Linked DNA regions of Macaca mulatta. The protein of the gene in region 3 purifies or fractionates together with the protein of the main gene of each other region. This does not show direct contact. Links are inferred from orthologs where the notes say so. Each region holds a gene or a part of one and is shown on either strand. Other genes may lie near its edges.

Region 1 (3,567 bases), on a different chromosome or scaffold from region 3:
ATAGCTACCCCTTTCCCATCTTCTGTTACTTCTACAGCTTTGGAAGCCATATTTGCATTGTTGTAAAGACTTGGCCAACCTCATTCTGAAAATCTTCCAGTATCACACATTCCTCAACACAGGAACCACCTCTAGTTCTGCCTTCCCTGAGCTAAAAAAAAAAAACTCTTCTGTGAAGAGGAGAAGGTAGAAATACACATTAAAAATTTCAATCCTTCTCAGAATGTTACTCTGGTATACCTAATTTCATAAATGAAGGTTCACATTAAAAATAACTGTCCATTTCTAGATTATAAGGTACTCTTTTGGTAAGGACAGCCTAAATTTGGTTTACACTATTTAAATCCAACGCACATGAGAAGTTTACAGCCTCAGGAAAAAAAAAAATCAGTATCATATCTTAAAATTTATTTTGAGAAAAAAAAAAAAAAAACAACTTTGGTATCACTAACAATAAGCTGCATTCTGATGTGAATACCCACCCACACCCTCTTTGGAAACACTTTACTATACTTACTGAACCATCTGATGCACTGGCTCCAACTTTGTCTCCTGCTGCATTCCAGCAAACTTCAAAAATTCCACCTGTTCCCCTATAGCTGTGAACTAGAGCACCTGTCTAAAAGAATGAAAAACAAAATCTTAAAAATCATAATACATATTATAATAAATCCAAATGCTGAAATAAAAATATTACATGGCCTTATTTCTAGCAATCAAAGGAGGGACTTAGCTTCAACTATACAAAATAAGTTCTGAAATTCTAGAACTGTAATACGATCCCTTTATAAAAAGATGATACCAGCCTGTTCTCAAAAGATTACTCACACACATATTCAGTTTCTCCAGTGTTGATAACCATTCTTGGCTAAGGTATCTGGTCTCTTTGACATAGCCAACAATAGCTAGAAGTAAACATTCAGTCTATCAAATAAGTTTTTGTTGTTGCTAAATGACGCATGAGTCTAGCTAACATGTAAAGAAACAAAATAAATTCAGAATTTCTTTGACAGAACTTCTTAAAGAGGAAGTATAACAAACTAATAAAGATAATTCCAGTGTAACTCTGTTATTCACTCTATATTTACTGACCAGTTCCTAAGCTAGGGGATTATAAAAAAAGCTAAAATAATGTATGTACATTCCTTTTTTATTTTTTTGGACAGAGTCTTGTTCTGTTACGCAGGCTGGATGCAGTTGTGCAATCATAGCTCATCGCACCTTCTAACTCCTGGGCTAGAGTGATCTTCCCGCTTCCACCTCCTGAGTAGCTAGGATTACAGGTGCATGCCACCATGCCCAGCTGATTTTAAAAAAATTATTTGTAGAGACAAGGTCTGACCGTGTTGCCCAGGCTGGTCTTGAACTCTTGTCCTCAAGCAATTCACCCACCCAAGCCTCCCAAAATGTTGGGATTATAAGCATGCACCACAGTTCCCAGCCAGATATGTACACTATTCTTGAAAGATGTTATAAGTTTAAACAAAAAACACAGGCAGGAATACTAACAATGTCATCATTAATTAAGCTGAATCATAAATGTAACAAAGTTATTTTATTATTCAGCTGCCACTGAAGAATTAAAACTCAGTACAAAAACATATTCTTCTATGAAACCAGTCAACATAGCAGGACAAAGATCAGAGGTCCTGTTGTGAAAACTCAAAAATGTGCTTCAGGTGTTCTGCCCCGACAAATCAGAAAAGTGACCTCTGCAGCTTTATGGTAACCTGAAGTCAAGCTAGAGGTGGCAGATCTACGTAAAACAACATGGCAACAAATCATGCACCTTGCAAATATCTCCCATTCAGCCTATCCAAGATGACAACTAAGCTGGAAGAATGTTTGACCGAGTTTTCCTCTTCAAATTTAGCCTGGTAACGTGGCACAAATCACAGAATCACAGATGCACTGGTACTGACACATTGCTACCGATTATCAGGCTGGGAAGGCTCAACTGCTTTGTTTACTTAAAATTTCTCATAATTTATGAGATTAAGTTCAAGTATAGCAGGCTTTAAATATCTACGTTAATGAGAAGAGAAAAAAGTAGAAACAACAAAATCTAAAGTTTGCTGAGGTATAAAAAAAAATAAAATCTATAGTCAACCTACAGACATTCAATCTACAGTCAACTTGAGATGAAAAAAACAAACAACTTTCTTTTAAAAGCACTTACCAATCTCTAAGCTTGAACTGGGCTATAATGAACCAAAACATTATGGTCAACAAGGCAGAGCTAAGACATTTAAAAAGGCCAATGGCTTGGATCGTCGGCATCTACCTCAAATTTGTATGTATACTGGCACAAGACTTCTAAAATTTACTCATCAAATGCTTAGGCAATTCATCATGCAAGAAAGGGGAAAACAAAAAACCTAGATGTATATATAACAATAGGATAATAACTTTCTCCTGCACTGAAAATCCACTATTTTACTATTTTCAAACTTTGAAAAAGTAAGACTTTTGGTACACAATAGTGAAAACAAAATAGTATCAACAGTTGGTCAAATGCCCTTAAATGTCTTGTTGTATGTTCCATCAGCACTCTACAGTTCTATGCCCAAATTTCATTAAAATTGATTTTGTCACAACGGACTAAATGAGTTCACTGAAAATGTTCTAAATGTGAGCAACACCTATTATATAAAAGGAATATATTTTTTAAAAGAGGTCATTCACAGTAACATAAAAACCATAAGGTACCTCAAAACACATTAGGAAAAAAAGATCCTCAGAGAAATTATAAAACTTCACTGAAGGAATAAAAGACAAATAAACGGAGGTATAACATATTTATGGGTGATAAAACTCAGTAACAATTTTCCCTAATTTCACCTATAAATTCAAGGCACTTATAAACAAAACCCAAAATTGTATGCTGTTTTGGAAATACGGATGACTAAAGTGGCAAGAACAGAAAAAATTTTGAAGAACAATAACAAGAGGGATTTATAAAGTGAGAATTGTTAAAACTGTGCTATTGATTCAGATAAGGCAAATATACAAATGGAATAACAAAGAAGGTATAAACAAATCGCATATACATGAACTGGGTGTATGAAATAAGTGGCATTATGAAAACAGAAAGGGGACAATGAATGGTTCTAAGACAACTGACTGCCCAAATGGAAATATCTGTACCTCACACGATATATAAAAATCAGTTCCAAAGGGGCTAAAAACATTAATGTAAAGGAATAAAACTTAGATACTTCATGAAAAAATATCAGGCCTCAGTGATATCTCTAAGGAAAAATGAATTAAGCTATTAAAAAAAAAAAAAAGCCATTAAAAAAGAAAGATCCAGCCAGGCACAAGGCATATGCCTGCAGACCCAGTAGACACAGGATGGTGAGGTGAAAGATCTCTTGAGCTCAGGAGTCCAGCCTGGGTAACACAGCAAGACCCCCATCTCTAAAAATAATTAATTTTAAAAAGATAAAGATAAATAGCATCTAAACATTAACATTAAAAACTTCCACATGATCTGCGCATGGTGCCTCATGCCTGTAATCCCAGGATTACTTTGGAAGGTCAAGGCAGGTGGCTTCCTTGAGCCTA
Region 2 (3,523 bases), on a different chromosome or scaffold from region 3:
TCAGAGCCCAAGTCTTCTTCAAGAACACAGGAAATGGCCCACAGGGGGTTCTCTGGCAATGTACAGCTAACTCTGCTTCCCATGTTGTGTACTTCTCATGTTGAAACTGTTACACACTTACCAGGTACTAATTCACTTGGTCCTCGCCACCCACCCTGCAATCTAGGTACTAATGTCACTCTCATTTTACACAATACAAAACTGAGCTCATAAAGACTTAACAAGCTACTCCTAGTCACACGTCTATTAACTGAAGGAGCCAAAATTTGGACCCAGGTAGTCTGGTTCCAAGGCACCTGCTCTTAACCCCCAAAATACTCGGCCAACATCTATGAAACTGAACTGCACTACAGGACAGCAGCCAGAGCACCTCGTGGACCCTCTGCTCCACAGGCCAGCAGCACTCCTGGGGGGATCCCCAGAGAATTCTCTTGGGACATAGGGGTATAATGGGTCCTGTAACAAGATCTTCTCCAGAGAAAAGGGCAGATGTTATGACTCTGGGGTGGTGTCCCCTCCTCCATGCTGATGACTAAGGCCAGAGGACTGACTACTTCTAGACCTTTATTTCTCTGTGAAAAGGGGGAAAATAAAAGGAATAAAATAAAAATGGCACAGTTGACACACACAAAAAAAACCAATGAGGGGAAGGACGGGAGGTGGAGAAGTAAATGGGGGAGGGGTTCCCATTACAGCAGCAGGATCCAGTGACCCGGGATGCTCACATCTCTCCCCGACGTGGGCAGAGTAGCCCCTTTCTCCCAGGGTCGCTGTCCTGTCCAACCCCGTGCTCCCCCAGCCCACTGGGAAGTGGACAGTGAGACATCTTCCCAGGCTGGGGAGAGGAGGAACCGTACTGGGGGAAGGGGCCTGGGGTCAGACCATGCACAGGGAGTGACAGCCAAAGGCCCCCCAGTGTCTCTCCAAAGAGGGACTTGTGGGGGTTGGAGGTGGACACTAGAGGCCAGTGTTTGCTCCTCTTCCAGCATCAGGCGAGAGACAGAACTAGGAAAACAGGAACAGGCAAGAATCAGAACCACAGCCCTCTCTCTGCCCACAATGCCATGGTACCTCCCCCTCCCAGAAGCTGCGACCTTGTTCTCAAAGGACAGCCTAGCACCTGTCCTCAAAAGTCCACCCTCCTGCTAGGGCTCCCTGCTTTCTAGGTCTTACCAGTCAGAGCCTCCTGGGCAAAGTATTTGACGTCCACATCCTGGTCCTGGGTCAGCTTCTCTAGGATGGGCTTGACTTCACTCTGCAGGGTGCTGGAAAGCGAAAAGGAGACAGGGAAAGGGAGCGTACTGGGGCAACAGGTGGGCACAGGGCTCTTGAGCAAGAGGGTATACACAGACATGGATACACCAAACCCAAGGTGGGAGGAGTCTCAAGAATCCAGGACATACACAGGAATGAGAAATCTCCGCTCAATGCACAGGAAGGTGACCATAGTTAACAATAATATTTTGCATATTTCAAAACAGCTATAAGAGAAGATTTTGAATGTTCTCATTACAAAGAAATGGTAAACATTTAAGGTGATAGATATGCTAATTATCCTAATTTGATCATTACACATTTGCACACATTATCAAAACACTACTATACCCCCATAAATATGTATAATTATGTGTATATTAAAAGTAAAATCAGGCCTGGCATGGTGGCTCACATCTGTAATCCCAGCACTTTGGGAGCCCAAGGTGGGTGGATCATCTGAGGTCGGGAGTTTGAGACCAGCCTGGCCAACATGGAAAAACCCTGTCTCTACTAAAAATACAAAATTAGTAGGGTGTGGTGGTGCACGCCTGTGATCCTAGCTACTTGGGAGACTGAGGCAGGAGAATTGCTGGAACCTGGGAGGTGGAGGTTGTGGTGAGCCAAGATTGCGTCATTGCATTCCAACCTGGGCAACAAGAGTGAAACTCCGTCTCAAAAAAAAAAAAAAAAAAAGTAAAATCAAGGCCAGGCGCGGTGGCTCATGCCTGCAATCCTAGCACTTTGGGAGGCCAAGGTGGGCAGACCACTTGAGGCCAGGAGTTCAAGACCAGCCTAGACAACATGGCAAAACCCCCGTCTCTACTGAAAGTACAAAAATTAGCCAAGCATGGTGGTGCACACCTGTAATCCCAGCAACTTAAGAGGCTGAGACACAAAAACTGCCTGAACCCAGGAGGCAGACGTTGCAGTGAGCCGAGATTGCACCACTGCACTCCAGCCTGGGCGACAGAGCGAGATTCTGTCTCAAAGGAAAACCAAACAAACTGCAAAAAAACCAACCAACCAACCAACCAATTACTTTAAAAGTCAGAAGTATGACAAACAACAACAGACTTCTCTGGGGCCCCAAACAGGGAGATCAGAGCAGGCTGGGAAAGTAGAACAGAATCACAGAACTCCCAAGTCTCTGAGGCCCAACAAATGGGTATCTTTCATTGATTTCACACATATTCACTGAGGCCTACAATGTATATGGAATGAATACGGAGCTAAATCACTCTTGTTTCTTGCCATGAGGCATCCGGGCCAGGAGCAAGACAGAGACCAAACTGCTACGTAAGAAGGGAGTGGTAAGTGGTCCCAAGGGAAAGTTCCTGGTCCTCCAGGAGCCCAGAGGAGGCAACCACTCTCATCTATGGGGCCCAGGGAACTCCGCCTGCACCGAGTCAATTGTTTTGGGAAATGGAGGAGGACTTCGGAGAGAAACTAAAGCTGAGGTTGTGTCCTGGAACAGATTCAGACAGAAATCAAAAGTGCAGGCTTTGTGGGTCCCCCACTTTCACTTGACAGCTCCCTGTTCTCCCCAAATAACCACTATTCTTACTTCCATCATCTCGATTCTTTCATTCTGCCTGTTTCTGAACTTGACATAAATGGTGTGTTTTCTTGAGTTTGGCTCCTCACTCAACATGGTATCTGTGAGAGCCACCTGTGTTGCCGCCTACAGCAGGCATTTGATTTTTCACTGCTGAATAGTTTTCCACTGTATGAATGAACTAAAATTTATCTGCTCTACTGTGGGCAGACATGGAGGTTTTTTCTGTTTTTATGGCTACTATGAATAAAGCTACCATGAACATTCTTCGGACAGAAACAGCACTCATTTCTCCTGGATAGAGACCCAGGAGTGGAAGGGCTGTTTCACAGGGTGTTTGTATAACAAGCTTCACCAAATTCCACTCCAGTTCCACTCCCGTTTTCAGAGTGATCAAACCCTAAATACACAGCCTCACGTGCAACGGATGAGAGTTCCAGCTCTATGTCTTCAACATTTGCACCATTGAGTCTTTTTTAATATTGGCTGTTCTGGGAGGTGTGTAGTGATATGTCACTGAGCTTTAATTTGCACTTTCCTGAAGGCTGATGATGCTGAACACCTTGTCATATGCTTACAAGCTATGTGGAGATCCTTTTTCAAGTGCCCATTCAAGTCTTTTTTCCCATCTCTTTCTTGCCCTGCCTGATTTGTAGACAAGTATTGTGGATGAGTCCTTTCTCAGAAACATACATTGCAGACATCTTCCTC
Region 3 (3,381 bases):
TGTTGGACTTCAAAACCTCCAACGGGATTTGCCACTTTTTTGGAACTACCTCCATTTTTCTTAAACAGCGATAAAGCAAAACAGGGACCGCCGGGCTGCAGCCCCTGGCCCCGGAGATGACGGCTGGTACCCGTGCTTGGGGCGTCAGGCCAGCTCGCGGTGCCAGCACTGCCAGACTCGGCTGGCCACAGGAAACTGTCCCACCAATTCCTGCTGTTTGTTTTTTCTTAAGGCATTGTTCCTCAGACTTCAGAAAACCCAGCCACAAAAATCCACCAGAGCAATAAAAAAAAGGCACAAACTCGCATCTTCCGATGGCTTTGAGAAACTCAAGCCAGCTCCCCCAGGCTCACATTCCTGTTTCTGTCCAGTTTTGTTTTCTTTAAAGGTCACTCCATCCCCCACCCGGGTGCAGACCCCCCACCGCACACCGCTATGGTTCACAGAGGCAGGCCACAGCCGTAGAAAACGTCCTCTTTAAAAAAAAATAAGCTACAAGATGAGTCGAGTGGTTTACACACAGACTGTGGAGTTGTGGGTAATAATCAAACTTTAAGCACCAGTTTTAATCAAGTTTGTTTTGTATTATTAGATCTTTGATATTCGTTTTCTGTGCCTCGTGTCAACTGAATTCGGCAGCTCGGCCGCCTGTTGCCACAGGCTTCTTTCCTCCACGGCGCCCCTCGCGGGACCCACCAGAGTGTGCTTGGCTTGCGCGTGTCCGTGTGTCTGCGCGTCGCCGGCGTCTGTCCCGTGTTCCCTGTGAGGCTGCCACACCCAGGTGTGCATGTGCGTCTTGAGACCTGTGGGCCTGGGTGGCAGAAAGGCTTCCCGTGGCTGTTGTGCGCCGGGTGTCCCTGGACGCTCCAAGAGAGCCCCACGGTGGGACGCAGGCGTGACACGGGGAAGTTTCTTGGCTGAGCTTCAAGACAGAGACAGACAGACAAGAGAACAGCAGCTGCGAGGGAGTGCTACAGGGGTGGCTCCTCTTCCATGGGCTCCTCGTCTGCTCTGTGGATCCCGCAAGAGAAAGAGACAGGGCATGGGGCAGGTGGACCACAGAGAGGAGAGAACAGAATGTGGGTTAAAGGCTGTGCGCTGCCCCACCCGCCAGCCTACCCAGGCCCGGGGGCACCGGGTCCATCTGTTCAGTATCTAACGCTCCTCATGCGTCTCTAAGGGGCTTTGGCACTAGAAGGAGGGGGCCCCGCTGGCCTGTCTCTAGTCTGTTTGGCATGGCACATGCCATAAATGTTCTGACCCTGAACAGAGTGTCCCTGGACACAGTGGGGCTGGGTGAGCCTGCAGGTGGGCAGCAGGGCAGGTGGCCGGCAGGGCAGGTGCTCACCTCTTTTCGGCGGGCTTCACGCCCACGGACAGCGAGGCCATGGCGGTGACCGTCTCGGCTTCTTCGTTCTCGCAGGTCTGAGCCTCGATCAGAGAACGCCCTGCCGTGGAGGTTGCACGCTGCAGGCAGCGCCAGTACTTGCCTGGGGTGGGGTGAGGAAGGTCGCTCAGTGACTACACCTTAGCAGGATGCACGGCGGCCCGGGAGGGTCCTGCGGGACCCTGAGCCTCAAACGAGATTGATCCCTTATGATTTTAAAAGCACCCGTCTTTGAAGAGACGCGAAGCAGAGGACTGCATGGCTACAAGCTCGCGAAGACCGAGAATCTCTGGAAATGTTTCCCCATCGTGAGTGGCTCGAGTCCCTCCAGGAGCAGCTAGGACTGCAGACAGAGGCTCCTGTGGGCCTGGCTTTCCACGCTCCTTTCTGCCCTGGGAGCTCAGGAGTGGGGGCTGCCAGCCTGCTGGGTTGAGCCTTCCTATCTCTGGGAGAAGATGAGCTGGTGGATTGTTGCTGGGGCTGAGGGATCTTCTGCCTGGGCCCTCACAGAGGCTGGGGGTGGAGGGGTCCTGCATCAGGTACAAGCGGGTGTATGTGGAAGGCTGGGCCTGGCCCAGGGTCAGCTTCAGGGCTCTAAGGCCAGGACTCCCCCACACAGGGAAATGGAGAGTCAAGCTCTGGACTACACCTGCTTGTGTAGACAGTCAATCATCTGGGTCATCTCAAAGGCAAGACAAGCTGGGCTTGCAACAATGACAGGGTGTGGGAGGTGCCTCTGAGACAGGCTGCATGCCACGCCCTTGCACCCAGGACCCACTCCTTGAGGGTCGGTGCCAGAACGCGGAGGGCCTACATCCTGCCTCTTTGCAGGGCCAAAGGTTTGATCTAAGGACGTGGGCTTCTCTGGTCCAGGGAAGAGGCCGGAGTCCCCAGGGTACAGGTTCATAGCCATGGCTCCCACTGCTAGCTGGGGACCTAGAGCAAGTGACTTCACACTGAGACTGTCTGGGCCTTGATTCTCTAGACCTACAAAATGGGCTGATGGAACCATCCCAGTAGGCCGGCGAAAATCCAGTGGGAGTTAAATGTGAGTCTCTACTAGCTCAAGAAATGCAGCTGAAAGCAAGGCCTCCTGCTGCAGGCCTGGGGAAGCAGCTGGCAGTGGGATAGAGAAGAGCTGGGGGTATAGGGGGACAGGGATGTGGGGCAGTGGGGTCCCGCCACCAGGAGCGTGTCCCCTGTGAGCACCCGGCCAGGCAACTTACTGTGGATTTCCATGACTTTCTCCATGGAGCGGACAGCGTTTGCATTGGGTCTTTGCTGTAAAACCTTTTCTGGGAGAGGATCAAGCTGGAAGAAAATACGTAAGAATATAAAGACTGCCAATATAATCCACACGTACATTAGATGGGGTGTACCGAGACTGCAACTGTTTCCTGAGCACAGAGTCCCTTGTGGGGTGCATTTGCCCATAGAGTAGAAAAAAATAACTTTAAAAAGTCAAATGTGCTGTGGCATTTATTATATAACTTTTTTGTAAAAGTGGATTTATGTAGGCATTTTTTTAGGGCACTATAAGGTATATTTGTGGGTTCCTACAAGTAGCAGGAAGAAAGACGGCCCCCAGGAATGGGCTGGCACCAGCATGTGAGCTTGGTATCCACCATCGATGCCACAGGGTTACATTAGGGGGAGGGATGCTTACTTCATCATTTTCCTTTTCCTTGTCTTTCATTAATAAATAAAAATGTTTGAATATCCCCTGATCTTGGTTTTCTTTCAGGGCAGTGGAAGGTGGGGTTGGGGGAGATGAAATGGAAGAAGAAGTCAGATCTCTCAGAGGGAATCCTGCACACCAAGTTTTTCCCTAAGTACTGGCAGCAGATAAAAGCAGGGAAGAAGTTTATAGGTAAATGACAGGGCAACAGGGCAAAGCATTTGCAATACAACAATTAAAAATGGTTGACTGGCCAGGTGCAGTGGCTCATGCCTGTAATCCCAGTACTTTGGGAGGCCAAGGCAGGTGGATCACT

Evidence for each region. The genes of interacting proteins can lie anywhere in the genome.
Region 1: the proteins of HDAC4 (region 3) and TBL1XR1 purify together in Homo sapiens (affinity purification with mass spectrometry; 3 studies listed by BioGRID and IntAct, with this or other methods). This does not show direct contact. The link is inferred for Macaca mulatta from reciprocal best matches to the Homo sapiens genes HDAC4 and TBL1XR1.
Region 2: the proteins of HDAC4 (region 3) and PPP2R1A purify together in Homo sapiens (affinity purification with mass spectrometry; 3 studies listed by BioGRID, with this or other methods). This does not show direct contact. The link is inferred for Macaca mulatta from reciprocal best matches to the Homo sapiens genes HDAC4 and PPP2R1A.

Annotation. Positions count from the first base shown.
Region 1 is NC_133407.1:88,995,738-88,999,304, forward strand, and holds part of TBL1XR1 (F-box-like/WD repeat-containing protein TBL1XR1), read right to left. Parts: intron 620-3,567; coding exon 518-619; intron 1-517. UniProt on the Homo sapiens protein: F-box-like protein involved in the recruitment of the ubiquitin/19S proteasome complex to nuclear receptor-regulated transcription units. Plays an essential role in transcription activation mediated by nuclear receptors.
Region 2 is NC_133424.1:64,420,274-64,423,796, reverse strand, and holds the end of PPP2R1A (serine/threonine-protein phosphatase 2A 65 kDa regulatory subunit A alpha isoform), read right to left. Parts: intron 1,266-3,523; coding exon 1,174-1,265; intron 1,006-1,173; coding exon 989-1,005; 3' UTR 548-988; downstream 1-547. UniProt on the Homo sapiens protein: The PR65 subunit of protein phosphatase 2A serves as a scaffolding molecule to coordinate the assembly of the catalytic subunit and a variable regulatory B subunit.
Region 3 is NC_133417.1:144,295,681-144,299,061, forward strand, and holds the end of HDAC4 (histone deacetylase 4), read right to left. Parts: intron 2,699-3,381; coding exon 2,614-2,698; intron 1,491-2,613; coding exon 1,349-1,490; intron 1,012-1,348; coding exon 972-1,011; 3' UTR 564-971; downstream 1-563. UniProt on the Homo sapiens protein: Responsible for the deacetylation of lysine residues on the N-terminal part of the core histones (H2A, H2B, H3 and H4).